Linked DNA regions of Schizosaccharomyces pombe. Changing the gene in region 3 together with the main gene of any one other region gives a genetic interaction. Each region holds a gene or a part of one and is shown on either strand. Other genes may lie near its edges. The genes, in order: SPOM_SPAC17G6.03, bit61 and SPOM_SPCC18.17C.

What was found.
Region 1: mutations in SPOM_SPCC18.17C (region 3) and SPOM_SPAC17G6.03 together harm fitness more than expected from each alone (negative genetic interaction), as found in Schizosaccharomyces pombe (one large-scale study listed by BioGRID).
Region 2: mutations in SPOM_SPCC18.17C (region 3) and bit61 together harm fitness more than expected from each alone (negative genetic interaction), as found in Schizosaccharomyces pombe (one large-scale study listed by BioGRID).

The regions. Positions count from the first base shown.
Region 1 is NC_003424.3:3,587,406-3,598,296, reverse strand, and holds SPOM_SPAC17G6.03 (phosphoprotein phosphatase), read right to left. Parts: upstream 5,260-10,891; 5' UTR 5,243-5,259; coding exon 3,335-5,242; 3' UTR 3,230-3,334; downstream 1-3,229. Other genes in the region: bro1 (vacuolar protein-sorting protein), read left to right, coding at 1-1,825; protein farnesyltransferase beta subunit Cpp1, read left to right, coding at 1,952-3,100; tco1 (RTA1-like protein), read left to right, coding at 8,348-9,322; vacuolar CorA family magnesium ion transmembrane transporter Mnr2, read right to left, coding at 10,009-10,891.
Region 2 is NC_003421.2:1,606,947-1,617,314, forward strand, and holds bit61 (Protor homolog, Bit61), read right to left. Parts: upstream 5,818-10,368; 5' UTR 5,619-5,817; coding exon 4,350-5,618; 3' UTR 4,101-4,349; downstream 1-4,100. Other genes in the region: SPOM_SPCC777.06C (hydrolase), read right to left, coding at 1-287, 450-786; alpha-1,2-mannosyltransferase Omh3, read left to right, coding at 2,864-3,468, 3,549-4,080; arg1 (acetylornithine aminotransferase), read right to left, coding at 6,378-7,631, 7,880-7,951; NEDD8-conjugating enzyme Ubc12, read right to left, coding at 8,133-8,242, 8,490-8,637, 8,749-8,837, 8,920-9,015, 9,082-9,172; protein Gta3, read left to right, coding at 9,717-10,103; SPOM_SPCC777.12C (ER stress response thioredoxin family membrane disulfide oxidoreductase), read right to left, coding at 10,264-10,368. UniProt on the Schizosaccharomyces pombe protein: Component of TORC2, which regulates multiple cellular processes to control cell growth in response to environmental signals. TORC2 is required for cell survival under various stress conditions.
Region 3 is NC_003421.2:1,983,101-1,993,887, forward strand, and holds SPOM_SPCC18.17C (proteasome non-ATPase regulatory subunit), read right to left. Parts: upstream 5,076-10,787; 5' UTR 5,040-5,075; coding exon 3,573-5,039; 3' UTR 3,234-3,572; downstream 1-3,233. Other genes in the region: dph7 (WD repeat-containing protein), read left to right, coding at 272-447, 494-541, 1,026-1,782; riboflavin kinase Fmn1, read right to left, coding at 2,351-2,842; fum1 (fumarate hydratase), read right to left, coding at 5,531-7,000, 7,530-7,622; DNA-directed RNA polymerase III complex subunit Rpc34, read left to right, coding at 9,666-9,901, 10,076-10,745.

The DNA.
Region 1 (10,891 bases), on a different chromosome or scaffold from region 3:
TTTAGATTCCAATTTTTTACTAGGTATTTACAATCTTTTCTTGGGTCAAGCACAGGAGTGTGTCTTGGGACATATGTCTTTTTCAGCTAGTGACTCTAACATGAACTATTCGTTGGCTGCAAAGATTGCTAGTTCGGCAGCTACTTTATATGATAGCTGTGTACACGCATTTGAATCTATGGAACCGGCGTGCAATCCCAATTTCATACGGCTTGCTTCTGCCAAAAAGGCCGCCCTTGAGGGATTTTCCTCTTATTTTATGGCACGCGCTCAGTTGGAAAAATCGAAACAAGGGCTTGCTATTGGATATTTACAACAAGCTAAGTCAATTCTTTCGTCTGCTCAAAAGTTATTCAATGGTATAAAGTTGAGTACTGATTTTATTCATAAGCCTAGTCTTTCTGACTATCCTCAGACCATTTCTACCTTCATCAAATCCTCCTTGTCTCATTTGTTAAAAACTGCTGAGAAAGATAATGACTTTGTGTTTCATGATCTTGTAGTCAAGGAAGTTGAGCTCCCAAAAATATCTCCTTTGCAAGCTCTACCACCACTTCCTTTAGAGAAATTGTATGGAAGTCAAGATGGATTTGAAACTGCAAAAAAAATTGTTGGAGATGATTTGTTCAAGGCCTTTGTGCCTAGCGCCGTTACGACCGCCAGTTCGCTGTATTCAGAGGAGACTGCCAAAGTGTTTCGCGCTGAACAAGCTGAAGTAGAACGACAAAACACCCAAATGGCAACGGTTTTCGCCTCCTTAGACCTTAGCCGGCTTCAAGAAATCACACATTCGGATTCCAAAACGAACTTTATTCCGAAAGAACTTATAGAAGCTCGTTCCCAACTTATTTCTTTTAATCCTACTTTTAAAATTCACGAGTTGTTTGCAAAATCCACAAAGTTGAAGCAAATTATAGCGAAAATTAAGAGTGACTTAGAAGTGGAAGCCAATGAAAATGCCAAGATGAAGGCGAAACTTGGACCCTCGTGGACGTTATCAGATAGCTTAGAGTTTGCCGCTCCTTATCAAAGTGAACTCAACAATTACTTGAAGACCTTGGCAGAGGCTTCCGCTACTGATTCCGCTATATCCCAACAATATGCTTTAGTAAAAGATGATGTAGAAACGTTGTGTAACTCTTCCAAAATTAGCGCATTACTAGAATCGTCCATTTCCTCAACTGATAATTCTGGTCAAAGCTTACTTGATATTCCTATTGAGCAGGAGGAGCAAGAGCGCGATATGAAAATACAGCTTGACTTGTTAGAAGAATTGCAATCCAGAGTTCAAAAGTTAGTTCCTGAAAGGCAGACCACTTTACAGGCTTTACAGCAAAAGTGTTTGCAAGATGATATTTCTGAGTCTCTCATGCAAAATAGTAAGCGGAAGGACTCTGCACTCGATACCAATCAGCTTTTTGAACTAGAATTAAAGAAGTTTGACCCCTTGCGAAATAGATTACATGCATCTTATCGGCAACAGCAACTACTATTGAATGAGATGAGAAATGTTACACAAAAGTTGAAACAAAATCCGGAATTTTTGAGAAAGATGGAAGTATACAATAACCAATTTTCTAAAAATAAAGAGTTATGTTCTAATTTGCTTTCTTCTTCTCTTACGGCTAAAGCTATATCGGAAGGTGTATCTAAGGGCCTTGAATATTATAAAACTGTTGAACAGAGACTTGCCGAAATTAATAAGACCCTAGGAGAGCAATTACTTTTAAGAAGGAAACAGGGTGCCACATGTCTTTCAAAACTTTCATCTTCGAGCTCCTCTCATACAAGTATTTCCTCTAATATGCGAAACCTTCACATCTAGCGCCAAGTAACAATTTGGCTGTTACTTTAGGTTCTTTGTCTTCTAGTGTTTAAGTAAACCAGTCCAACAACTTTATAATTAATAAAGCTTTTTGGTGAGCGGACTCTTTCGTTAAAGTTAGTAAAGATGGATGAATTATCAGAAACGCAAGTTATGCAAAACGAAACGGCTACAGCTGTTCTTCCATTGCTGAACGGCGAGAGTCAATCGTTCAATTTGCAAAAGCATCTTAAGTATTTAACCAAAATGCTAGATCCTCTTCCTTCTCCCTTTACAGTATTGGATGCATCAAGGGCTTGGATGGTTTATTGGGAACTAAGTTCATTGGCAATTTTAGGCAAACTTGACAGCTCTGTTTGTGAACGGGCTATTAGCAGTGTGCGACAGTTGAAAGGGCCTAGTGGTGGTTTTTGTGGTGGGAATGGACAAGATGAACATTTATTGAGTACTTATGCTTCTATACTCAGTATATGTCTTTGTGACTCCACCGACGCATATTCCTTGATAGAGCGCGATCGTTTGTACGATTGGTTATTCTCTTTAAAAAATCCGGATGGTTCGTTTCGAGTTAATAATGAGGGAGAGTCGGATGCTCGATCCGTTTATGCAGCTGTATGTGTTTCTTCTTTAGTGGGAATCAGTATGGACGATCCTCTGTTTGAGGGTACCTTGCAATGGCTTTGCAAGTGCCAAACTTATGAGGGAGGTCTTTCAGGTGTCCCTTACGCCGAGGCTCATGGCGGATATACATTTTGTGCCCTTGCCGCAATTGCTTTGCTGGGAGGTCTTGACAATTTAAATGAAATAAAACTTAGCACTTGGCTTGTACAACGTCAAGATCCTGCTCTTTACGGATTTTCCGGTCGCTCTAACAAGCTAGTGGATGGTTGTTATAGTTGGTGGGTCGGTGCTAGCCATGTGATTGTGGCTTCAGGCTATGGTTCGGCTTCTCATAAAAGCCTGCCTAACCTTTTTTATAATCCAGAAAAATTATTAGGATATATTCTTCAATGTTGCCAGAGTACAAGCGGCGGTTTACGTGACAAACCACCAAAACGGCCTGATCAATATCATACTTGTTATTGTCTATTAGGGTTATCATCAATTGCTTATGACTACAGATATCACACTTCTGATGGTTGGTCCTATAAACCTTCCATCTTACACTCCTCTTTAAGCTCTTTATTACCGGCTCATCCAATTTACTGTGTTCCTTTTGGTTTTGAAGAAAGAATTAAATCATATTTTCTGTCACAAGAATCATCAAAATTCTAATGGTTTATTTATGAGTTGTCTATGGACTTTAATTTTTCATGAGAGGATTTTTTTTATTATTTTAACGGTTTATGTCCCGAGTTTAATATCATGCCTATTTTACTTCTCTATCAGGTATTTACTTCGTCATTTTTACACATGTTGAATAAATAATAATTCTTGACTTATTTGTTATCTTTAAAATCATTAATGTCATTAGAATAATCCTTACTAAAGGAAATAAACCATAGCCTTTTACTTATATAGGCAATCGTGGTCCCAATAGAGATCTGCATATAATGGTAACAAATCAGTCATAGAATGCTTTCCGTCAGGTCTCGTAAAGTAAAGCTCCCAATCGTCAGGTGAATATAAAGGCTTATCTGCAATTTTATTTAAAATGTCGTCTAAGCGTGGAATAACAAATGATGGAGCAACAACGTCAACAACTTGCTTATCGTCTCCAGAAAAAGAATCATCAAATCCAACTTGCGAGCAAATAAACCGCAGCGGTTCATAATGAGGAGTTGTAAGATGAGCAGTGTCATCTCCGTCATCTCCTAAATCATCGTGTGTAGTGTATCCATATGTCTTGCGAATGGAGTGTTCATAAAAGTCCTCAAATTTTGCATCAGAAACTTGTGGAGTGTTAATTTGAAGAGTATCTTCAGCAATCAGATATCCACTGTGTTGTAGAGCTTGTGGCAGGTACTTAGTAATCGACCATGGGACATCTTTCAAAACATAGAATATATTACTTTTAAAAGGACAGACTTGAAAGACCTCGTCTAAGCCAAAGGCACCTGAATTTAGACCACCTCGAATGCCACCCGAATTTACAATAATATAGTGAGGAATGTGATGTCGAGACTCATTGACGACTATTTTTGGAAAAAGTTCGGATTGAAATAGATGATAAATTGAGTTTGAATCGTTAAATGGAACTTCTGAAAATGCAAACTTTTTTGGGGAACAACCTATAGGAGTAAGTAAGCCAAGTGCCTTCCGAGCTTCGTAAATGCCATTAGAAATAAATTCTCCAAGTGAGGTATTGAAAGAAGACTTTTTTGTTTTCGAATGAAACATAAAGCCCTCGGGATTCCAATCAATATAGGAACGAGAGAAGCTGACACTGGCAGATTTAGCACTTTGCAAAGAGGAAAATATCTGCTGAGATGACCGTCTAATACTTTCGCCTATAAATCTCAAGCGCTCAGCTAGATAAGATTCCACCCCCATTAAAGAAGAAATCCCAGATAACTTGACCAACGATTTGAAGGATGGAATGCCGTTAATTGAGACCCAACCAACTGTTTCGCAATATCTTCCTGACTCAATTCCCACTGCTTTTTCATCGTAAATGGCATAATCTCTAATATGGGAATGACCACCAAGTACTTGTATTGGAGTGGTAGGGAAGTGAATCCGAAGCTCTGAAAGAACGATATCAAGCTCTGAGGCATTGTGAACGGGTACATGAGCGGGAATCAGAATCAGATCGATGTCTTTATTTGATACCATATCGTTCCACCATGGCTGTAGCGAGAATTGCGAAACTGGGAGGACACGAACCGTATCAGTAGCACCAGAAAATGAGTTTACAAATCCAAACGCAAGGATTTTAACATTGTGGGGTGTAGAAAAGATGGCATATCGATCTCCAAAGGGTACAAAAGAAGAAACATGTTCATCATATATGTCAATGTTTGCAGCTAAATATCGGCCTTCCCACAGAGGAATGAAATTATGATAAGTATCATTTGCAACAGTTGAGAGATAAAGCTCATGATTTCCAGCAACAAGAATATCATAATCCATATTTGCAAGTAATGAATCTGTCCAACTACCAGGGGGATCTGTCAGATCTGACAGGCCCGTACCATCATGAAGATCGCCGGTATCTACTAGCAGTAAATCAACGTCTTTTTGTTTTGCCAAGTGCTTCATATGTTGAACAAAAGAAGCGAAATCTCCTAAATCTCCTGAATAACGTTTATCTCGCGCATGTCCTGCTAACCAGCCATGGATGTCAGTAGTGTGTAAAATATTGACTTGACCCCATGTCAATTCCCGACGAATTGCCAAGGGCAAAGTTGCTGAATAGCAAGGATTGATAACAAATAAAAGAGAGAAAATTAATGAAAATGTATGGGCAGGTTTCATAATAAATATTGGTTCCCAGTATATAGGGTAAGTGCAGAATCGCCAAGATAAGAAGATCAAGTACCAAGTCACAAGCAGCAAATAGTAGCCAGCCAAACCTTCGTAATATGACAATCATTGCTTCCATCAAAAGTCATGGGAGTTTTAAAAAAGAATTCGTAGTCGCCTATTTTTTTTAATCAAAAATTTCTAAATGAAAATTGCGACGTCTGCAAAACGAGCACGCAAATGCAAGATTTTGAGATCGTCAAATGATTAAAAAGCTTTAGTGAAACACTACACTTATGTTATGCCTTTAACTTCCGGTTGGGCATAAGTATTTAGTAAAAGAAAAGAAGAATTGTAAATTGACAATGTGTGGGGAATTGGTTTGACGAACGATAATAGATAATATTATGCAATATTGTAAGTAATATTTATAACCTTATCACAGAGAAAAACGCTTTTAACCAGAAGTATTCCTTCCGAAAAACGTATATTGTCTTTATTCACCAGAGAAGAGTGCAAAAACAAAATATTGTCATTGTTGCTCAAGAAAATGATTAAGCAAGAAAAATTGGTTTTATAGTAATGCAAAAAAATTTGAAAAGGAAAAAATCATTTTTTCCATTCATGAAAATAAATAAAACCATTGAATCTGGCATTAGCATTGTCTCTTAAAAGAATTGGGATCCCGCAACGATGTATTCGTAATACCATAAATATGTATGAATTGCAATACGAGGAAAAGCCAGATTTTTTGTAGAATTTAAAACATAAAAAAAAGAGTAAAAACCAGGGTAAATATTGCAAAGGAGTATGTATCAATTTGCGTTTCCGTTAAAAGAAGGAGCATTCTATTTCTTTCATGAAGACTGCGTTTGCCAGTATCAATAACACTCTAAGCTTACTTTGTTTAAAGAACTTTTTAAAGATAAACAGCAGCCATTAACAGGGTTTTTTTTCCTCCATCAAGCTTGAAGAAATAAACTCATATACCGATTTAAAATAATAATATAAAAAATAAATATTGAATGGGACGGGACTCGAACCCGCGAGCTTTCGCACTGGCGTGCAATGCGTTGAACGCACCTAAAGCCAGCTCCATAACCACTCGGACACCCATCCTTTCTGTAACATACTAACGATTATGTACATAATATAGCAAGGATTAATAGAGCTCAAAATAAAAATAAAAGGTAATAAAAGAATGGATATGTTGTAATGATTAAATACAACTTCGGTTATTCTTTCATTCAGTATGGTTAACTGATTTAAAATGTCCAAACGATATGTTTCGTACAATACATGACGAAAATTTAAGAAGGAGAAGAAACTCATATTCCACTTCAAACGAAATATCAGGTCATTAATAAAGAGGGTTATACAAAAGAGGAAAATTTAATTTCACATTTTTTCTTTCTTCTATTTGAAACCTGCTTTTCCGCCAATTCATCTAGTCATGGTTTGTATCGGTCAACTTATAGTGACATTTGGTATGGAACAAATGAATGATTTGTGTAAATTTTATGGCGATTAAAGAAACTTCCGCTAAACATTCTATTTCCATTCATTCTACTTAATTAATTAATTTATCCCATCAAACGATATTTTGAAGCCACAAAACTAGGGGCATTCTTTATTGCACCACCTGTGCAAAAAGTCGTCTTATTCACTCATCATTCATATTAAAAGGAAAACGTTTCCTATCATTCCCCAAGTTAGAAAATTAGCATAGTTCATAGAAATGTAATCAAAAATTCAAAAAAAAGCCTTAATGCTGTGAGCCTTCTACGCATTCATACTAGTGATGGAACAGTAACGTTTAGTTTCATGCTTTTTTCGTCGTCAACTTCATATCAGTGCTCAGGTCAACGCTAATAGTTCAATGCTTTAAGTCATGTCAATTTAAGAGGCTTTAAAAAAAAATATCAGAAATTTTTCTTCCACGGTGTCCGAAAAAATCTAAAGGAAAATTTTTATCGAGTAATATGAGAGTAAAGTCTTACGCAGTTTCCAATGCCTATCATTATTGTACTGCGAGTCGGACAATTCAAAATCTCGTTCCTATGCATCATTCTGATTACAAATGCAAAACCGACATTGTCAAAAGCAAAGTGTGACACTTTCGCAAAATCAGTTTTCGTTGCATTGCTAACTGAAGAGCCAAGCTATATCAAAAAAGAACTTCCTAAAATAACTTTTCTTTTTATGAATTTATTATTTTTCATTCCAAGCGTCAATTGGGAACGCGAACGACGATTAAATCGTTTGAAACTCACCGGCAAATTACGTTTATGCTTGCAGCACTAGCTTTTTATTGAAATGACTCTTCCAAACGAAAATACCTCTGCCATTGAAATGGAACTACTGAAAATAGAGTATCTTCGTGAATTGAAATTTAAGCAGGAAAAGCTTGGTATTGGTGAGACAGCAATTAGTCCTCGGAACTGCAAACCCCGAGGAAGGTAAAACTCAACAATATCAAGAAAAAAAAGATTCCATAAGCCACACACTGGTACATAAACTGAAGAATTACTTGTTTGAAATTACTTAGACAGGGTCAACGGTGTTATTAAGAATTCCAAGTACATTTGCGTAATTGGCAGAGAGTTCTTTCTTGTTTCCACAATTTCCAGCACATTCATTGTTGTAATTGTTTTCGTCGTCTTGTTCGAGAATTTAGCAGGCTACAATATTTTTGCGTCCGTAGCTAGCCGTTGTTTAAGGTTACTCCCAGTGTCTTTTTCATTTTCTCCCACTGTGCCGCCATTCACTATTTATTGCGAATCCGCCTTGTTTACGTTTTACTTCATCTTTTTATTCGTTATTGTCGCGTGTCTTTATTTTGTGCTTTTATTTCCCGCCATCATATGTCGCTGAAGACTACCGGACACTTTAACATTGCGTATTAATTGATGAAAGTTTTATTTATTAGTGAATGATCTTGTCGCATAACAGCATTCTCCGTGTTTTCCGTTTTTCCGTTTATTTCAGTTGAACTGAGTTGACTTGTTGTACAAATTAATCGATCCCTTGTTTCTTTGAGTGAAGTTCTTTTTAAATTCTTACTTCTCTTTTCACTTATACACTTCTTTTTTTTTCGCTTTTCTCATATTAGTTACCATGTATTACGATAACGCTTTCGGCTATATCCCTGCCCACTGGGTCACCATCCTTGCTGTCATTCTCTTTAGTATCGCTTTCATTCTTCACGTTGCTTGTCTTGCTTTCACGAGAAAATGGCTCGTTATCGTCCCTATTATCGGTACCATTGGTGAATTGGCTGGATGGGCTTGTAGGTTAGACGCTTCGTACAATCCAGATGACTACAACGCCTTCTTGGGTCAAATCATCGCTTTAATTATCGCACCAGTCTTTTATTCTGCACAGGCTTACGTTTTGTTTCATCACATCGTTCTTTTGTATGGACCTCGATTTTCCGTTTTATCTCCTAAGCTATATGGAGGCATCTTTATCACTTTTGATATCATCGCTCTTATTCTTCAGGCTGCTGGCGGTGGTGTTGCCGGTGGTGCCGACAGTGGTTCTCAGTTACAAACTCAGGGCTCTCAAATCATGTTGGGCGGTATTTGCTTCCAACTTTTTACCATTGTTGTTTTTTCTATCCTGTTTTCCATTTTTTTCATTGCGTTATATACCCATCATCCCATTCGTCCTTCCACTGGCAGAAGGGAACCAGATGTTCCATATACTCGTGTTCGAACTATGTCCTGTAATTGTCTAGCCCTCGCAACATTTGCAATGGTAGTTCGTTCCGTCTATCGTGTTATTGAGTTGGCACAAGGTTGGGAAGGTGCGGTCATTACTCATGAGGTATGGTTCGATATATTTGATTTCATCCCGATGATTTTTACTTCGGCCCTTTTGATTCCCTCTCTATATCCTGCTCTCGAGAGAAGCAAATTGCCTTTCACCGAAAAGCACGTTTCGTCTATGGAATACGCTCCCTCGGAGTATGGCCCTTCGGAATATGGTCCTTCTATAAACGATATCACCAATATGTCTGCTGTTATTTACCCAGATTCATTTTTGGCACCCAAGGATCCCAAAAAATCTTTCTCCTCTGAGGAGCTTTAAGACCTCTTATAAATGTGAGCTATCTATATTCGCATGCATGGTTTCCGCTACGTGTCAAATTTCTAGTACGTTTGTTATTCGTTTTCACTAATGTCTGTTTTTACAACCGTATTATAATTTCTACAAAATGTTTAGATGAGACATTTCTTCTCCTATTTATTGCTTTGCAATATGCATTACTTATTTCGAGAAAATAGTTTGAAGCAGTGTTAAATACCAAGACGTCGAGTGTGTTTATTTTTTATTAAAAAAAAAAAATTACTGATACGACGAATCCCCTTCTCCCCATTCAAGCTTCATCTTTAATATCGTTTTTTAACTCTTTTCGTTGTATATTTGATTAATAATCATAATTATCTATCTATTAGTCGTTTTTTAATAAATATTTTTGCAAGTAATGGTGAGTTGTTTAAACAAAAAGCATATTCCACAATGAGTAATCTTCTGATAATGGAAAACGGTCTAATACATTAATTTTAAAACTGAGATAAAGTCACGACTCAAGCAATAAAGGACAGAAACGAGAAAATACAGTTAATTTTACTCCATGAGATCGACTTGGTTCCTCGGCTGTTGTGCAGAAATTCGGATTGCCATGTTTGAAAACATGTTAAAAGAAATAAATGAGCTACAAGGTAACCCTGGGGGGAAAACTCTCAGGCAAAAATACAAGCATACAGTAAGAGCTAAATAACTTTGTACCATTTACAAAGAATGAAAGATGAAATCGCAAAAATCATCAGACTACCAAGAATACTAAAGAACCAACCAAGTCCTGGTACGTCTTGTCCTGGAACTTTAACATTCATACCCCATAAACCGGTAACCAAGTTCAACGGAATTAGAATTGTACCCAAGATAGTCAAACGTGATAAGACTTCATTTGTTTCATTCGAAACAAGTGTCATATTAATAGAAATCTGAGCCAAATAATTTGAATGACTTCGAGATAAAATTTTTTCGTAATGGTTCAAATTTTGAACCATAGTGACTATGTGATCCTGCACATCACCAAGATATAAAGCAATTTCACCTCTAGGAGCTACTTGCCATGACTCGTTGCATCGTTTGGAAAGACCTCTAACAACATCTGCCTTATTGGCAAGCAAACGTAGCAAACTCATGATCAGCTTGCGGCATTCACCAACGCGCTGCAACATTCTCTCTTGAGGCTTCACTTCCATTACGTGATCATAATGGATACTCAAAATCATGGAATCAATTGTGTCGACTTCATCTTCAATTTGCTCAATGAATGGAGCGAAAGCATCTGTAGTATCGTCCAGCAATGCATATGCGATCCAATCTGCATTCACTGTCAGATAACCATTCAGTTGACGAATCCTTCGACGAACATTAGCTGGATGCGGTGTCGGGTTCATATGAAAAGTAATTATACCGTCACGAAAGACGACTAGATAAAAATTCAACGGCTTTAGGTACTCAGAGTTTGAGGGTAATTGGTTGAATGAACGGAAGGTAACAAAGTAATACGTTCTAAAAAGCTCGACTTTTTCACGATCCTCTTCGAGAGTAATATCTTCAACGGTTAAAGGATGGATTCCAAAA
Region 2 (10,368 bases), 380 kb from region 3:
CGACATATCGCCAACTCGGAATCCCATACAAAAATAGGTTTGACTTTCCTTTCCTTCGATGAAGTATACGCCATGATGAACAGGTAAAGGAGTAACAGATATGTCAATATCGTCGAGCTTAAATGGTTTGTCTGGAGAAAAGACGTGGAAGTCAAAAGTAGGCACGCTTCCACCTCCAGTAGCATTTTTGGCGTTAACCATATAGGGAAATGACCTTTCAATAACTTTATAAGTTCTTTCAGTTAGGTATATTTTGACAGAAGGTTGTAAAAAGCCCAAGGTCCATTCTACAATGCAACAAACGGTTAGTAAACTTCAACAGTCTAAAGTAATCAACAACGTCTAAAGTAAAAAAAAAATGGTTTATACCACGATAATCACATAACAATTAAAGACCTATGCGATACAATTTACCATTATCTTTAGCAATGTTCATCATAAATTCTTACCTCGTAAATCGTCCATTCCATTGATGGCATCTGCATGATCATGTGTCAAGATGACTGCATCAAGATATCGAATTTTGTGCTCCACAAAATGTTTCAATGCGCTAACATAAAAATGTTTTCCACAGTCGATTAAGATGTTTTTTGGACGATCTCCACTCCCATCATCCACCTGTAATAACACGCTTGTATTAAACCGGTTATTTTTACGACCTTCTGGTGTTAAACTTGCGAGGCAAGTACGGCAAGTTGGTTTTTCAAGTGTCAAACAACATACATTGGGAATACCACTAGAGCAACCAGTCCCCATGAAAAGCAGTTTACTTGTTCCCTTGGTCATCTTATCCGGTATAAAAGAGATTTCCGAATAATTCACCTTTCAATACCTCGTCAATAAGCACACGTTTCAAATGAACGACTAAATTTCCAAGAATTCACTACTTGGATTTCTTCCCAGTTGAAACAAAACTAGGATATATGAAAAAAAAATCAATTGGTAGTATAATATATATTGCCAATTGAATGAATGAAAAATTAATTCTAAAATATGGATAGCGAGTGTTTAAATTTGCAGAAACATATTTCAAGGCCTGCCGCGCATTAATAATCACTGAATAACGAATGATAAAAATCGCGTAATCTTTCTAATATCGAATTGTTTAGTTTTACAATATACGGTTTAGCGATTATTTATTTCCTCGCTGCGGTATAAAATCAATTGGTAAATGAAATTCATAAAATAATTAAATTTTAATTGTACGTTAAGACAACGTAAATGCAAATACAAAACATTGGTAAACCAATAATTAAACTTTCGAAATATTTAATTTAAAAACATCTTTTAAGAACTAGATGTGTTGCGACTACGAATGAATTTCTAAATACTACGAAATAAACAATTGGATATCAAATATTTTAATTAATTACTGAATTACACACTCATGAATTATTATAACAATTTTTGATATATTTGTAACTGCTGATTACTATACATTGCTTGTTGCAGTATTAGTAAAACAATATTGATTTTGAATAAACTTTGAAAGTAATGGAAAAAAGGAAAAAAAGACATTGTAAAGAAAAATTCCTCGTAAAAACAAAAGTTCACTTGCTATTTTCAAAGTATATATAATAGCAATCAATTCGTGAGATATCGAATTCATTTGTTATATCTAGACACTATAATTTAAATATTCTGGATTGTTTTAAAAATTATAGAAGCAATGAATCACTGTAAAATAAAAAAAAAATTGACTACGACAAAGTAAAATAAATTAATAATATATACATATATTAAATGAATATAAAATACAAATAAAAATAAAGAAAATAAAATAAAAAATCATTCATCGCTTGTAAAACTTTATCAAGCATAAGGTATTTGCGAAGCGAGTGTAGTATAATATACTTGCCATCATACAGTTTGAGCCGAGTATTTTAGCTGGTAGTTAATAGAAATCACCAAGAAAACCTAAATCCTCTGTTTATGACTTTTCAAGAACTACTATTCCCAAGATTAATGTCAAGAGAGTTCATATGTATTCCAAAATATGGTAGAGCGCGTTACTGAATTTCGAGCTGGTTGAGTTTAAATATTTGTTTATGTTATGGTGGAATCTTTGGTAAAGCTTCAAAATTATTGTACTAAAAAAACTAAAAAAGTGAACCTAGGATACTAGCTAGCAAAACTACTTTCTCAGAATTATGCAAATTATTTGGGGTTATTCATTATTATAGGCGCTAATCTGCCATGGACGGAGCTGTTAAAAAGAAACGAGAATTGAGTGTATTTAAAATGAACTACTTTCCATTAAATTGTTTCTTTGCGTAACCTCAGTTAAAAAAAAAAAGCTATTCAATGTTTATCGAATAACGTACAGTAAGACAATCCGCTACACCAACCATACTTGTTCAAATATGGATATTCCAACCTTTGACGATTATTTCATTTCGAGCAACGTTTACAGTATATCTCGAATCGTTTACCTTTGCCTAGAAGTTACCAATTGTGGAAAATAATTTTAAATATATGTTGTTCTGGTATCCTTAACTAGAAGGTAAGAGAGAAAAAGTGTGAAAGAGTGGAACAGTTTTGAGCTGTATATTGCATAACCAGTTAAAAAACAATCCCTCTATCTTTCTAAAGACTTTGTTTGGAATTAGCAAAAGCTGAAATTTAAAACATTCCCAAATGATCGTTTATAAACCAAAATTGTTACTGATTGTTTACAAATCTAATGTTGATTTAGTCCAACGAGTTATTTCATATCAGATTGATTGCTTGCGAAAATATTGCAAACTGGCGTATCTTACACAATCGAACCATGTTATAAAGTTCATTCACAATCAATAAAAAAAAAACTTCCGCGATTTAATAAGAAATCCTAATATAAGGGGGCCATATTCATGACTTCAACATGGGCATACCCAAATCATCAATTTATTTTTGTATACTATTATTCTGCATTATTTCATTCTATTTACAGTCTTCTAAAGATGGGCCTAAGGAACTAAAAGTCAAGTATGTATTTCTAAAAAAAGCCACAGCAAAGCAAAGAGGAGAGTCATCCTTGACAGATTCAGATTATTTTCCTAAGCAGCCCAATATGAACGCTACTTTGTTTATGCTTTGCCGTAATAGAGACATTAAGGACGCTCTTGTTTCCATACAAAGCGTCGAGGATCGGTTCAATCATCGCTATCATTACCCATGGACATTTATGAATGATGCCCCTTTTACTAAAGAATTTATAACAGCTACTTCAAAAATGGTGAGTGGGGATGCTACCTATGTCCAACTCAACAACGAAGAGTGGGGAATTCCTATAAACATCGATTTAAATCGTATGTTGAAATCAATTCGGGATATGACCGATGACAAAGTAATATATGGATTTTCACTGAGTTATCGGATCATGTGTCGCTTCAATTCAGGATTTTTTTATCGAAACAAAGCCCTTTCACATTATGATTATTACTGGCGCGTTGAACCCGGCGTTGAATATTCTTGCGATATACCTTAGTAAGTGCACAAGAAAAATTGACTATTTAACTCTTGTTTTTGTAATATGATAGAATTTTGTCACTAACCAATTCTTTAAGTGATCCTTTTCGAAAGTTGAGTGACGAGAATAAGGCGTATGGGTTTGTCATATCAATGACGGATTATTATGAAACCCTCCCTTCTTTATGGAACGTTACTCGAGATTTTATTCACCAAAACCCACAATATCTTGCACAAAATAACTCCTTGGATTTTATCGTTAATGACCACCAGGGGTTAAGTGGTGACTACAATCTCTGCCATTTTTGGAGTAATTTTGAAATTGCCAATTTAAATTTCTTTCGAAGTCCTGCATACACAGACTACTTTGCGCACTTAGATAAAAATTATGGATTTTTTTACGAGCGCTGGGGGGATGCTCCCGTACATTCACTGGCAGCATCGCTATTTCTGAACAAATCGCAAATACATTACTTTGAGGACTTTGGTTATTACCATTTACCCTGGTACCATTGCCCTACGGATGTACAGTCGCATGCGACAGCTAGATGTCTATGCGATCCGACTGGTACGATTGATTATTTACCCTTCTCTTGTGCTATTAAATGGTTAGAAAACATCAATAGTTAAAATACATATTACTTGTAATTCCCGAGATTACCTATTTTATTTTTGATATTTGTTTTAAAAACATATTTATTGTGGACATAAACAAAAGCTGATCGTTAACTAATGATGAAAACAAAAGACTGGGAATATCAAGTATTGACACAAATTTTTTAAGTTTTAGAACAATTTGCAAATATTGAAAAGTGTGGACCCTATAAAATAAGAAGGTAAAAAAAAAAACTGAAACGATTTTAAAAAGGAAAAATAATATAAAAAATCTAAGAATGAATTTAGGAAGCTATCAACAGGCATCTGACTTTAGTTGCCAAATTAGTAATTTCTTGTTCCTTGGAATCGTTCGTTCGTACACTTGCCAACAAACTTAATATCTGAAACAGTCGAGCGAACACCTCTCCTGCATTATCTAAAGCATTTTCAGCAGATTCGGCACGCCCAATACAGATTTGTATCCGATTTGCAATTGGCAAAACCATATAATCGCGAAATGTCATCAATGCAAGACGATGGACATTTAGTTTTTCCCTATTTGTGGAACAAAACTCATTTACTTCATAGGGTAATTGTGTTTTTTCTTGTTCATCAAACAATTTTGTCTTTATAGGTAAAAACACACCTTGAACGTATGGCAATACGGAAGAAAAGAAAAACAGCCATGTTTCTATGATACGATTCAAAAATAATTCTTCTGGAACAGGCGATAAACTGTCCGAAAGGCACTTGGTAGCCTTACGGAATAGTGTCTCCAAGTGTCCAACAAACTCATTCATCTTCGTATCACGGATAAGAGCTTGTAAATGTAATATAAGAATTCCATTCAAATCTTCAAGAGAATAGTGCAAAGCCTCACCCGAATATAAACTACAAACTTCGGATTCCACAATAAGCCAAGTTTCATCCGCGGATATGGGAACCAGGTTAAAGCGACCTTCTAAAGGAGAGCGAACTTTGCCCAATTTAGCAAATGCAAGAGAGGCTGCACCGAAGCCATTGATTATTTGATTTGTAACAAGTGATTGTGGGATGGAAGCGCCAAAAATTCCCCCAGCGTCTCTTCTTCCTCTTAAGAAATTTCGAGACCCGTTGAGCGTTTTCTGCAAAGCAGAAAGATCTAAACCATCTTTAGGCTTTTTATGCTTATGCGGAGAGAGGTTAAGCAGCGATAATTGAGTTTTCGTAGAAATACTTTGAACTTCGGCATTAACATTAGAAGGGCTAGTAGGCGTTAAAACGTTCAACTTTCCTGGGCGCTTGGAATGCTTACTCCAATGTGTTTCCTCAAAAACCGGATGACTGCTACTTTGACTAGATCTTCTGCTAAATGGCCATTGTCCATTAAACGGACTTTTAATGTTTTCAGTCGTGTCAGAGTCGCCAACGTTTGATTCCTTAGTAGTAACAGTCTCCAAGTCTTGGTTCTGCCCATTTTCCGACAACGAAATAGTGTTAGAAACACTTTCAATGCTAGTTTTAGTGTTTTTTGGAATCCAATTAATGGATGAGGCGCTCGAGGTAGATGAAAAAGATCCCCTCCCTACCATCTTTAGTAATATTTTTGGAAATGTACTGAGGGTATCCAAGAAATTTGCTTTTAGTTACGCGAAATGCGATTCTTCAAAATAAGCATGAGATGATATTCATTGTTCAATCATTATAAAATGATTAAACTTACTTAAAAAAATGATATTTTTTAGAAAGATAAAAAATTTTGTTTATTTTTGAATATGGTGGTATTTTGCTAAAGTATCGATGTGCGCCTTAAATTAAGATAAAATATAGAAACGAAAAATTGATTAAGAATTCCTTATAACGATATCGTTCTAATGTGAATTGAATGAATAGCATGTTGATATAATAATTGTATGCCAAAGAAAAAAATAGTTAATGCTAAAAGAAAACATGGAATGTTATTTGCTATATAACTTTTTAAAAGTTAGTAATAGAAAACGCAGTAAAAAAACATTGATTTTGTGAATTACTATCATTTGACAGAGTATTTACGGTACATATTACGACAATTCAGTTTAGTAGATGAAAAACAACAATATATATCTAATTTTCTAACAAAAAATGTAAACAAAATTGATTATGAAAAGAAAGGGAATAACGAAAACCAGTATTTACAATGTAAAGCTTCCAGCTAAGCTTTTCGTAACCCCCCTATCAAAAAATTTTTTGGTTGGCAAATGAGAGCAAGGTTAATATATGTTTTCGAGGAACAAGATTTCTCGTAATAATCACTTTTTATCGCACTATATAACCAATCCATTCAATGACCAAGTCTACGAAAACATACACTTTTACTTACTTAAAGCCTTCAAAGTGCTCTCCATGATATCCAAACCCTTAGCAATAACCTCATCTTTAACATTCAAACTAGGAAGGACACGGGTGTTGTTGTTTCCACCTGGTAAGAGTAAAAGACCTTGTTGACGAGCAAGCTCAATAAATTTAGCAGGGGGCTCGGTAAATTGCAAACCAAGAAGAAGACCACGACCAGCATATCCACGAATAAGATTAGGGTATTTGGCAACAAAGTCATCAAAACGTGAAGTAAGAGCCTTGTGTTGCTTTCTAACGTTTTGTAGAATCTTGGATGACCCTAATTCATTAACACAGAATGTGCCTACACGGCAAGCAACAGGATTACCTCCGAAAGTACTGCCATGTTCACCAGGGTGAATTTCAGCAGCGATCTTACTGGAGACAATGGTGGCGCCGATAGGTAGACCATTAGCCAAAGGTTTGGCAACTGTGATAATATCGGGACTAGCGACATCCTTAACGATACTATGGGCCCAAAGATCACCGCTGCGACCAAGTCCGCATTGAATTTCATCATAGATTAAAGAAGCACCAACCTTATCACAGGCCTTGCGCAAAGCAATCAAAAATTCAGGCTTGGCAGGACAAATACCACCTTCACCTTGAACGGGCTCGACAATAACAGCCGCAGTTTTGTCATTGACAAATTGCTCTATGGATGCAGGGTCATTATAGACGGCTTGGACGACATCAGGAAGTAATGGTTGGAAACCACGTTTATATTTGGGGTTCGCAGTGATACTAAGAGATCCCAAAGAACGGCCGTGGAAAGAGTTATTAAAGTAAACAATTTGACTCTTCCCTTCTCCATACTTCTCAAACGCTGCCTTACGAGCGAACTTCAAGGCTGTCTCATTGGCCTCAGTACCACAATTGGCAAAGAAAATTTTTGTGGGGCCAGCAATACCGCTATTTTTTGCCAAAGAATTATTAATGACATTAGATAGCTCAATGGCAGGCTCGTTGTAGAAAAGGTTGCTACTATGGACTAATTTGGAGCATTGATCAGCGGCAAGTCTAGCAACTTCAGGATGAGCATGACCCAAAGATGTAACAGCTACGCCAGAGGTGAAGTCAATGTATTTACGACCTTCCTTGTCAAACAAATAGGAGCCCTCACCTTTAGCAGCTACGACTGGATAGCGTGCATAAACTGATATAATATTCGCCCCTTCCTTCTTGATAATATTGCAACTGGTTGTATCAGGAGTTGGATCTTTGTGGGTAAGCTAAACTTGGTTAATAAGCAGTTTAAGAAATATTAAAATTAGTACTGTATGAGGCAGTATGAAAGCACAAATGAAGATTTATTTTGTTGGGTCAGTAAGAAGCATTCTCAACATCAATACTTGTCTAAAAACAAGAGCAAAGTACAGAATTCTCGAAAACAATCAGAATTAGATGATAGTCTAATTATTTGCCATCGTATGTTCAGTTGCACTTACAATGCATACTCTATCAACAAACTTGTACTTACGCTGACAAATCGACGAAAGGCGATTTGGGAACCAGACGAACGAACAGAGAGAAGTGATCGTCTTTGAAACATTGTAAAGCAGTTACGGGCTTATTAGGGGGGTTTGGTTCTGGTTATGTGTTTTTATACTGATATCGGAAGTTCATCGTAATCGTGACTGATTTAGCGAGATTTAAAACACATCAATATTTTCATGACAGTCGTCTAATCTATGTCGGTTATCTTTATCGAATTGATTTAGATTGATGAAAAATTAAGCCATGACATTGTCAAAAGAAATTCCATTCACAAGACCACCTTTCATGGCTGTACGCACACGAGATGCAAATCCTTGAGGGTCTTTATGCAAATCAGCCGCCGCCTCTAAAAGATATCGTTTGTTAGTATAGTTAAATAAATCTAGAAAATTTGTTAAGGAGCAAACCAGATTTCTTATATTAAAATTGCTTATCATAATCATTGTCCTCAGTAAAGAACCTTATAAATCCCATAATAAAGGATCGTAGAAAAAATGAGTATCAAATGATAGTTAAGAGATGAATAATCATTTCCTTGTAATGCAATAACAAGAAATAGTTCATTGCCCCCCAAAAAATTGTAATTAACCTACCTTTGTTGAGTGGATCTTCTGCGTTTGGTGACAAGAATAAAAATTGCAATCCAACCAAAATAGAATTCAAATTCAACACTGGATTCCAATCCTGACGCAGAATATTGAGGCATACGTTTCCCTCAATATCGATATTTGGGTGATAGATCTAACAGTAGGTCAGAACGAAAGGGTTCAAAACATGTTATAATGGTTATTTTCTTAAATGCAAAAAATATACCATAAGCTGCAACTCTAATTTAGAGCATGACTGACATACTTTGTTTAGACATTTAACCTTAGGAGGATCATGAGGATAATTATCGTCGATTTGGATTCGAAATTTAAATTTCCCACCCTTGTAATACCCTTTTCATGTTAATCAAAATAAAAAATAATAGTCTCAAAAAGTCTACACCAAATATTCTTTCATGCGGAATCACAAACTTACCTTCGTCAGGCCGGATTTCTAAATGTAGCACGTTCAATTTTATAGGATCTGGCCAGCTTGTAGACATCGTAGATGGGATTTCTAAATCTGTAACGTCTAAATTCATCGAAAATGGTTAGTTTCGAGTAAATCGCGAAAAGTTATCAACATGATGAGTCGCACCTTTTTGGATTCGGATTTGTGCTGGACTAATCCCTGACGCATTTTTCTCTTTTTGAGCTTCTTTCTTTTTTAATTCCCAAATTTTTCTCATGATTTACGCGATTCTTGTAATAGGCAGAAGGATGGAAAATGCGCTTACAATTTTGGGTATAAACAATACTCTCATACATCATTAAAAAATAGCGAAACATGTAGACACCTAAAGTGCTAATAATGTGGCATTTTATATTACCTTATTCAATTGCAATAACCAATTTTAATAAAGTCGTTACTCTACGCAAGCATTCAACAATATTACGTACTGGAACACTGCTATGTAAAGTTATATACAGACATCGCAGGATGTCGTAAATTTAGGGAATGGGAAACGGTTATCATAGTAATGAAAAATAGTTCTCCTAATTAGAGAAGCTGATTATATTGACTTTACTTACCGAATGATTTAATATATTCCTTTACTATTAATTCTAAAAAAACCCAGACTTACAACCTAGTCGTTAAATTGTAGGAACCGACTACAACTTCGACAGCTGTTTCAAAGCATTTGAAAAACTTACAAAGTGTTTAAGATTGAATCTTTTTTTTAACCTGTACTATATTTTTCTCTTGTAATTAGCTCTATTTTCCTTTTCACTATGCCATTTTTGAAACCTTCAAAGGTTTCACTTAAACGAATTCTCCAAGGAAATCCACCCAAACCAATTGGCTTAACTGAGTATGGTCATTTGCTGAGGCTCGTTGGTCTTCGTGAAGCAGACTCTAAGGAAGAGAATGAAAGAACAATTCTAAAACTCAACGAAGGAATCATTCAAATGCATGCAATTGAGAGACTTGATACATCCTTCATTAAGGAACCATTTCGTACTTTGAATCATGCTATTAATGCGGAATCTCTACCATCATTACCCGATCAAGAGCCGTGGAATGTATTTCAGAATGCTAAGAAAAGAGACGGGCAGTACTTTGCCGTTTATTCTAAGCTAAAAGATGATTCCTCTAATGAATCTCCAAACAAGCAATAAGGTTGGAAAATCTACGTTCTGTTAAAAAAGGAAGGAATGAAACAAATAGGGTATAAACCTTTACTAGAGCGGTGCCTTACATATAGAACATGTAACAAACTCTCGTATAATTATTCAAAAAATTGATATTATCAAAAACTAATAGTATTTTCCACATAGCTTATTTCTTTTTTGCAGCGGCGGCGGCAGCAGCAGCGGCTTGTTTTTGTTTCGCTTTTTTGCTAGAGCGATACATTATGTAGGCAGAGATCCCAAAAATAGCTAC
Region 3 (10,787 bases):
TTATCTGAAAGAAGCCGTTATATTTAATTAATTAAACGTATTCTAGAGCACGCTGAACTTTGCATTTTATTGTTTAACGAAAAGAATACGTGTACGTTGTGGTTTGCTATTGAATTAACCAAACGGAAGAAAATCCAACTCACAAACATTGGGATAGTGACGCGGCAAATATAATTACGAGATTCTCTAAAAAGCGTAACCGATCTGATACATTAGTAAACCCAGACAAAGCGAATTTACCAACTTGATAGTACCACTAACTGGCATTGAAATGAGTGAAACTGGAATTATCCCAAAGAGTACAGATTACACGGATTGGCCTGCTGATGTTTGTAAATACTCTCAAGTCTTTGAGGATGTTTTAGTCGTTGGGACATATATGTTAGATGAATCGACAAAATTGCGACATGGAAAATTGGTGCTTTATGATACCAAAGAAGATGTACTGTATGTTAGATCAAAAAATTCTTGAAAAAGTACTAATTTAGATTAGAAAAAGAGTGTTTGACATGCACTGCGATGCAATTTTAGATTTTAAATGGTAAGTTGCCAAAACGGTCAACGAGCAGAAGTTCATCAAAAGAATTAAAAGATTGGCGTAAAATGATGAGGGTTTTTCGCAACCATGTGATTTAGTCAATAATACAGTATCCTGTCGTAAATCTACAGTTCGTATCAAGCCACGGTTTCCCCTTTTGACTATACGCTTTCTTGAGCTCATGCTATTCACACCTTTGTTTTGAAGGCTAGTCAAGAAGGTTTATTTCGGTGTTCAAAAGAAAGCGTTTCTAATCAGTGGTGCAAGTAAATAATCCGTAGTCGATTTTTTAAACGCGGAAAAAGGGAGTAATTATACCCATATTATTCCACAACGCTCTCCTTTTACCTTTTCTTCGTTTTCTCTAGTATTTTCACTCCATCATTGAACCTCGCCTTTCTCCTGATTCTCAGTTGTTGCTCGACGCTTCATGGATTATACCCCGTGGTTTTCTTTTCTCGCGACTTGATACTAATTCATCTTATAGGTCTCCTCATGATGCTTCTGTATTAGCTGTAGCTCATTCCACCGGCCACGTTTCTTTTTATCGCCATCAATTTCGAGCAGAACTTATGTTTTTACGTGGTATCAAGGTGGCCGATTCTAGCGTCCTTATGCTGTCTTTGGATTTCTCGGACAGCGGAAAGGAGCTAGCGGTCTCTATGTCAAACGGAAGTGTTCTTATCATCGATATCGACTCTGGTGTCATTAAAAACAAATGGAAAGAGCACGATTACGAAGCTTGGACGTGTCATTATTCTCGTCAAGACAATAACCTCCTTTATTCGGGAGGTGACGATGCTGCTCTTGTTTGCTATGATCAAAGAATCCCCAATTCATGTATTTGGAGGGACATTCAAGTTCATCATTCTGGTGTTGTTTCCATCCTCTCTCGAGCCCCCTTTGGTCCTTATATTGCTACTGGCGAGTATGGAGATTTTATGCATACGTTGGATACCCGAAATATTGGAAAGCCACTTTTTAGTGCTAATCTGGGTGGTGGTGTATGGCGTCTTGAGCACATGGAGACTACTGAAAATTATCATAAAGTCCTTGGCATTTTAATGCATCGTGGTGCTCAAGTTTTACGAATCTCTAATGATTTTAGTTCAATTGATGCTAGCAAACGCATTTTTAAGGAGCATGAAAGCATGTGTTACGGAGGAGACTGGCGTCACACCGATGGTCTACTTGCTACTTGCTCGTTTTATGATAAAAGAGTTTGCCTTTGGGAAGATATTTAGCATGCATTCGTTTGTTTAGTAGACTTTGGGGAGGAGAATAACGGGCATATTTTTTCCTTTTTCTTTTTTTGCATGTTTGCTATACAAAATTTGTGTAGAATAACGTTGTTCATAATCGTTACTTTTCCATTTCTTTGTTTTATCTTTACAAACAGAAAAAATGATCATTTACGTTCTTGTTTTCGCTTCTTTTTCTTACTTACTGACTCTCTTCCACCTGTCTCTGTTCCTTCATTGTTTTTTTTTTTTTTTCATTCTCATCCGACCAAATACTATCGTTCTTTATAATCAATGAAATACAATAAATGTTTATTAAAATAAAAAAAGTTTAAGTACGATTATGGCAGTACTATTGTGTTCACAAAATTGTAAATCTTTACAGTCATTGCCATCTGAAATTAACAAAATGTATTTAAAAAACAAAAGCCAATCTAACCAAATACTTATTAACAAAAAGGAAGAGAAATTAAAGAAGGAATAATACAGCAGGATTTATTAAAGCATTTTGGCAGCGGCAAGGATGAGTAAAAGTACACAAAAAGATTTCTTTTAAGGATCTTATTGTATTTTATACCTTGAAAAATGGGTCCTTCTTATAGCTAGAATAAGAAGGACGATCCATGCTATTTAAAGCAACTCTAATATCGGTGTGTATATCTTCGATTAATTTATCTAAACCGGCATAATTTAGCTCAGGCCTAATGTATCCCAAAACAATAACACGCATTATTTCTTCGTAAAAATCTTCACCTTGTCTTTCTATGAGATGCACTTCTGCACTTCGTAGCTTGTTTTTATAGTACGGATTCCATCCAACACTCATCACCATGGGGAATACTCGTTTTTGTACCATAGCATATCCAAAATAAACACCAGAATCTCTATATCTAAGAAGCTCTTGAATTGCATCTTCTGATATATTTGCAGTTGGAATTCCAAGCTCTTTTGAGCCTCTACCAAAGCCATGAACAACTTTCCCTTCGAAGCGAATAGGATAAGGGCTTTGCACCTTTTCAGGACCAACAATTTCAGGCCTCTTTTCTTCTAAATTAACTGTCATAGAGTAAATCAAAGGTTGCTAGCGCAATTGGAAAAATACTAGTGGAAGTAGGTAGTTAGTAAGCGTAGCTCAGCCTAATGAAGAGAGTCATGTTGGACAAATATTTCCATTACGCTTATTTTAAATTAGTTTAGTTGATATCTATGAATAACAAAAAAATAATAAAACAATTGGTTCATCAACCATTGACCATCAATGGTTAAATCTCAAGGTTGGTAATAACCACAAATGCTCAACGGTTGTTTAACTCTATTATGAATTCGTAAGTTTAATAAAAAACTTGCGTTTGATATTCAAGAGGAATTAAAGATTTAACCTTAATATAATAGCGCTTGGTATTCAAGCAGTTTTACAGCGCTGTTCTGGGCACAAAATAAAATAGTTATTAATTAAATTTTTTGAGAAACAAGTAGACAATTGCATAATTATTAGATTGACAAAAGGCCTTGGGTGGCATCCATAAATTCCGTCCCCAAAGACTGCCAAGTGAAAGTGAAATTGCAATTCATAAAAGCTTTCCATTTGTGAAAATATATAGGACTATAAATATCCATGTTAAGAAACTAAACACTATCCCTATAGCTAACAGCCATTTTTTTTTATACATCATATTTCAAAAAAAGCGGCATACGAACCTGACGTTTAAGGAAGTCGAAAAAGAGGGAAAATTTTGCTTGCTGTAATAATAGAAGAAAGCAAGATTTTTTGGAATATAATAGTTGTAAACTACTTAAGCAGTTTCTGCGGCCACTTTTAACGTTGAAGCACCGCTAACAATCGGCCCTTGCTGTAGTCTTTTAAGAATGTCTTCCCGATATCTACCAAAAGGTAGCTTGGGTCCGCCATGAGGAGATTCCATCATGGTCTTTAACACTTGAAACCGCAGTAAGCATGTTTCATGGTCACCTTCTGCTTCAAGTAAATGACGGATAGCGAATCCTTCAGAAGCAATTTGGATAGGCGAATTTTGAGCAATGTGTAGCAAGCATTGGTATGCTAGTTGCCTAGAACGAGGAATCGGAGAAGAAGCAGTGTTTACTAAAGTGCTCAAGGTGTTGGGAGGTAATATTCTCCAAAGCTGCATCCACAAATTATGATCAGGCTGTAAAAGAGCATGAGCAAAAGAAGACATACCCGGTTCGTCCATCAAAAATCGTCTTGTCAACCATCTTGGCACATAACGATTAGCTTCGTCCTCAATGCCATATTTCTTGATAAGTGCTTGAGTTACCACTGTGTTAGACAAAAAAACTCCGTAAAGAAGAATAGATGTAGCATCGTTCGTCTTCATTCTCTCGCGAACAGCGTCAAATAGTTGATGCTTCTCATCCAACGAGTTAATAGCGTCTGGATGCAATTCGCAGAGCCTGGGAAGGAACTTTAATCCAATATGATCCGTATAAGAATCCGCTGAACCTTTGTAGTCTTGAGCGATCGTGTCCAAATACTTTGTTTTTTCAGAACTTATATACTCGTATGTAAAAGGAGCCTCTAACATTATCCCAAGGACATCCACGAAATTAATTTGAAGCAATATGTCTTTATTGTCACCATTAATTACAAGCTTGTCGTCCTTAATCAGTTCTTCCAAATATTCTGGAGACTTCGTAGACAGTTTTGCGAACAGTGTCAACCAGCGTACCCTCAGCGTAGAGTTCATAATTTCATAGTCAACAAATGTAAAACGCTTTATAATTAAATTAAAGTAGTATGGAAAATCTGCCATATCGAATAGCAAAACAGTAGCTTCTTCGGAAACTGCTATGCTTCGAGAGTTGATGCATGCCATAATCGCCTCAAACAGTGGTTCACCAATCTCCTTCTTTTCCCAATTTGCACGGCGTATAAGGTGCAGACAAAAGATTTCGACATCTGTAGAAGGATGTTCAAGTCCAGTAACCAAGTAAGATTCAATTCCAAACTTTTTCAAATCGGCCCAACTCATTGGCTCAAGCAGCTTACCCAAAGCCTTCATAATCGGCTCGGTAGGTATTGGAAGCTCAAAACAACTAAGTATGGTATCCAAGAGTCCTAAGCATGATGGCCTTGTAGCAGGCGTTATACTTTCACGGAACGCATCTATGGCATCAGGGATTTCACGAACGATAACCGACGGGTTTGAAGGGAGATCTTTCAATAACTGTAATAGTCTTCTACCGGGTCCTGGTAAGCCTGGTATGAGTTCTATACTATCCATTTGGCTTGTTTTTAACAGATCCCGTATATTGGCGATGGATCGGCTGAAATCAGGCAAGAGGCAATTTTATCTCGTTTAAGTAAGCTTAATTTTAACCGAGCAACCGAATATCAAGGAAATACACATACAAAGAAAAGGGTATCAAACACCTTTGCATTCTTGGTTTACGACTATAACTGTAGGGGTGGAAAACAAAGAAACACTTAATCAAAATTACGCATTAATCTACTTCACGAACTAACCATTTTTTTTAAATGAGTGCCTACTATTTTGTTTGAGAGCCTATGGCTTGTGCAAGAAAAAAAAACTCATTTAACATAATGGGTATTTTTGCAAAAAAGCTAGTTAATATTATGAGAAGGGGAATGATTTTCGTAAAAAGTAAGTTGAGAGAAGATAAAAGAGAAGGATGGATAAAGAGCATGAAAAAGGATAAAGAGCAACAACTGATGATCCAATATTAACGGACCAACAAGTAGAGTGGTAAAAAATTATACTTTCTTAGCTGAAATCATTAATTCAGGGCGAACCCATTCATCGAATTGCTCGGGGGTACCGAAACCCAAAGTAACAAACTCGTGCTTGAGAGTGCTCTTATTTTTAAGAGCAGTCTTGGCAATCTTGGCACAGTTATCATAACCGATGTGAGGATTTAACGCAGTAACAAGCATCAAGGAATCACGAAGATGACGGGCAATACCTTCGTAATTTGGCTCAATGCCGACAACGCAATGATCAGTAAAAGACTCGCAAGCATCCCCTAAAAGACGAATACTGCTTAGAATGTTCTTTGCTAAAAGAGGTTTAAAAACATTGAGTTCACAGTGTCCGGAGGCACCAGCGACAGTAATAGTGGCATGATTGCCCATTACTTGAGCACAAACCATTGTTAAGGCTTCACATTGGGTGGGGTTTACTTTGCCTGGCATGATTGAACTTCCAGGTTCATTAGCAGGAAGGATCAATTCGCCTAAACCACAACGAGGGCCAGAACCAAGTTGACGAATATCGTTAGCAATTTTCATAAGAGAACAAGCAATAACATTTAAAGCACCACTCATCTCCACAATCGCATCATGGGCTGCAAGAGCCTCAAACTTGTTAGGGGCGGTCTTAAACTCAATATTTGTAAGCTTTGAAACCTTCTCAGCAACCTTCACGTCAAATCCTTCAAAAGTATTTAGTCCAGTACCCACGGCAGTACCACCTTGAGCGAGAAGACAAAGACGAGGAAGAGCGTTGTTTATGCGCTCAATGCCATAACCAACCTGAGTAACATAGCCGGAAAATTCTTGACCTAAAGAAAGAGGAGTGGCATCTTGCATGTGGGTTCGACCGATTTTGATAATGTTCTTAAACTCCTCTTCCTTACCCTTCAAGGCCCGGTGGAGGTGCTTCATGGCAGGAAGTAAATGAGTGTGAATTTGCAAAACAGAGGCAATATGCATAACAGTGGGGAAAGTGTCGTTAGAAGATTGAGACATGTTAACGTGATCGTTTGGATGAACGGGCTTTTTCGAACCTAACGTACCACCAAGGATTTCTATGGCACGATTAGCGATTACCTCGTTACTGTTCATATTGGATTGGGTGCCCGAGCCAGTTTGGAAAACAACCAAGGGGAAGTTATCATCCAAACGACCATCAATGACTTCTTGGGCAGCCTGTTCAATGGCATCTGCAAGTTTGGGATCCAAACCGAATTCACGATTAACAGAAGCAGCCGCACGCTTTAAAACTCCAAATGCGCGAACTAAGGGAAGAGGAAGTCGCTCTTTTTCACCACCAATTCGAAAGTTTTGAAGAGAACGCTGAGTTTGAGCACCCCAATACTTTTCTGCAGGGACTTGTATGGGACCAAAGGTGTCAGATTCCTGTCGGAACTCGCCATGCTTACCGCCTTTGGGAATGAGATGATAAGTCGGAGTAGTGGAATTCATTCTATGAGTTTTTAGAGGTAACTAAAAAATAAAAAGTTAGTGTCATACGCAAATTGCATAAATCAATAGAGTAAAGCGAAATAGATGTGACTCAACCGCTGCATCTTGCTGAAACCGCGAAAGCTGGAACTCTGTGCCACGCCATTGTTCATTCGCAAGAGTAGATGGAACCAACGAAAGAAACAGAAAAACGAAGTGTATTCTTCAATTTCTTCAGCCGTATTCGAGCATTACAACAAAAACAAATGCCGACACATCAAAACACTGAACTTATTCTTTTCATAATAATATTTCGTGGTGTTAGTGGATCATGCGTTTCAATGGGATAACGCACGACTAAACAAGGCATATCACAAGAGTTATGGAATGAACGGTTAACAAAACGGTTAAACTAGCAAGTAGTCATTTAATAAAAAAAGAGAGAAAACAAGTACGAAGAGCAACTCTTCTTTTTTTAATAGGTAACTACTTCGCAACATTCATGACTTTTTCTCTCTCCAACCGATTTTCACGGAGTCTCATTCTAAAACACAAATTACAATTTACTTACACCAGTGAGTGTTGGGGTAATCAATCTTCTGCAAGGCAAACCGCCAGCTCGAAAAATCGCTTTAGCCGTGCTGATGTGGGCAACAGAAGCCATGTGGGTTATTTTAAAAAGAAAATTATACTCTTCTGAATAAGGCAAATTTTACGGGGATACGGACAATTATCACCGTTACAAGTAGTAAACACTGAGATGACGAACAACCTATCGGAAACCTGAGGATGGAACGAAATGGAGAAAACTACAAAACCGATAAGAAAATTGAAAAAAACAGTTTTGTGTATTTTATTTATCCAAAAGAAAGATGGTTTGCAAGTGCTCACTTCGGTAGACCGGTGGTTATGAGACTGATGGAACGGGACAATAACTACGGCAAAGATAGCAGGTACAAGGGGAGGACTCTGAACAAAGTGGAAACAACGTACTTCACAAACGATTTACGAAATTTACCTAAAATAAGAGAATTTGATACAAAACAAAGCCTTTTCCATTCAAAATTGGAAAACGCACAAGAATTACACGATCTTAAGAGTATATGGTAGAAAGTAGAATTGAGTTTCACTGAATACGCGTATACACCGGCATTCATTCCGCGTTACTATTTGTTACCCAGGTTGCGTAAGGTTGTGAGCTTTAAGATAAAGATGCGTTACAGTTCAGTATATAGAATAAGGATTTATGTAAGGGTGCATAAAAAAGGTAGTAGGTGAGTACACAATTCATTGGTATAGCAGGAAGAAGAGGAGAAGGATGAAGAAGAAAAAGAGGTTGCTCAGATAATCAAAAATAGAGAGAAAAGAAGCAAGACTTTTTTTGTTCGTATGCGTAATTTTTTTTTACTTGTAATGAGAGCTCACCATTTGCACAAGTTTTGCATACTATAATAATATCGCAATTTATAGGAATATAATCAAATGCAGTAAATAAATAACGATCTGTAAAAATGATTATAAATGCATTTGATTTACCTTCCCAATGGTGAAATCTCCTTTCTATGCATTAAAGATCCTTAGACGATTTTATTTTAAAATCAGAAAATTCCTTTCAAACTTCATTTTCTATTTCTCTCTTCTTATACAACTAATTTTTAGTAGCCAACAACTTACAGCAACGTTGCGACGCATTCGCAATTCATTTTAGCATATTGATTTTCCGCTTCTTTAAACGGTTTCCTGGTGAACATGCAAATCTGGCATTCCCTTGACTGGACATATTAATGGAAAATTAGTTAATAAACTGCTCTAGTTGGTAGATCTAGACGAAGCGATAAACGTTTTTGGTTGCTTTGAACATTTTATTTTGTGTTTTTCTTCTTGGATTCATTCATGCCTCTTTTTTTGAGTGGTTGAAAATCAAAATTTTTTCTATTAATATGAATATTTTTTTTAGCTATTTAGCTTAAAATTGCATAGTTATTGGTACATTTGGAAGTTGAAAACGCCAATTTTCACTTGTTTTTTCTCAACTAGTTTTCAATCGCTAAAAACTTTCGTTCAATGTCGCAAAAAGCCTTTTTCTCAACAGTAGCCCTTTTCAAATCATTGAAATTATCCGGTTTTCTTTAACATCTTTAACACTATCTTCTAAAATGTTTTCTTTCAGATTTCCCTTGTATCTCAAATGTCTATAACATCCACATGTAATTTGCGCCGTATTATCATTTTCTCTGTTTAACGGAAGAACCAAGTTTAATAAAATGGATCCAAGTTTTTTAAAATCAATTAATAAATGAACAATATATCTCCCTTAACTGACTTTCATTCAGATACCTCACTTCCATACATTCCTAACAAACCTCTATTAAATAATATTCTACTCTTACTATATGTTAAATGCCTAACATTTACCTCTTTTATAAAATTCATATTACTATATTGATGATCTGACAAATTGAATATTATTATAATAGAGAGCCAAGTTTTCTTAATTGTCGCCCTCTGCCACTCCAACCGAGGTGGTTTTTGGTTGATGAGGAGAGCCTCGTAAAAGTTGAAAATTTTTGTCTCTTCTTTTCATTTTTAGTTTAAAATAATTTATTATAGTATATTGGGTATATTGGAATACCATACAACGCCCAAAAATACTGCGGGCAAACGTGGTTAAACCCTCAACAGAAAACTTTTATCTTTCACTTTCAACATGGCCGACCAACTGCGTACTCTTCCTAAGAATGCCAAAGTTATATACGAGCATTGCTTAAAACAGATCCCAAATTCGCTTTCACAACAGGATTTAGTAGAAGCGATTGGCGCTTCGATATCCGTGAACGATCTTAGTAGTGCTTTAAATATCCTTCTAAGTCGGCGACTTTTGGATCCTTTGCGGCAAGGAAATGTTCTCGTATATCGGGCTGTTCGATTGGATGAAGCTAAAACGTAAGTCGGTACTCACCGAAAAGTTTAACTGTTTAAGCTTTTCGTTGTTGATCAAGTTTTAAATGTCAGAAACTCAATGCATTTCTTGATCTCTTATTGTAGTATAATATAAAGTTTTTACGCCAATTTTAATCATGATTTTTGTTTTGTCAATGCTAACATTCTTCTTTTTAGTGTTTCTACCATGGAGGGCGATGAACAAATCGTGTACAGTTTTATCAAGAATTCTGGCAACGAGGGAATATGGAGGAAAACCTTAACACTAAGGACTAACTTGCATGTTTCTGTTGTTGATAGATGTCTGAAGTCGCTCGAGTCAAAAAATCTCGTCAAGTCTATTAAGAGTGTAAAAAATCCGACTCGAAAAATATACATGCTATATGATTTAGTTCCTAGTACAGAGCTTACAGGAGGCCCCTGGTTTACCGATCAAGAGTTGGATGTGGAATTCATCGAGAACCTAAAAAAGGTGATCTACAGATATGTACATTCTAAAAGCTTCCCTCCCAAAAAGGCTGCCATGGGTCCTGACCTTGTTTGGGGTCCCGAATACAATGGATACCCTACAGCTTTACAAATTCATAATTGGCTAAGAAGTACTAATATCACTAAGGTTGATCTCTCCTTGGCTAATGTTATTTCCCTTGTTGATGTCTTAATTTATGATGGCAAGGTTGAGAAAAGGTCGGATGGTGCTTCTTACAGAGCAATCCGTGTAAATAATGAGAACATTGATGCATTTACTGAATCTCCTTGTGGAAACTGTCCTGTCTCTGACATTTGTGACGCCAATAGCAGGGTAAATCCTATTACCTGTGAATATCTTGATAAATGGTTGAACTAATGAAAAGAGTTTTGTACAACCTTTGCATAGTCCTTACCAAAG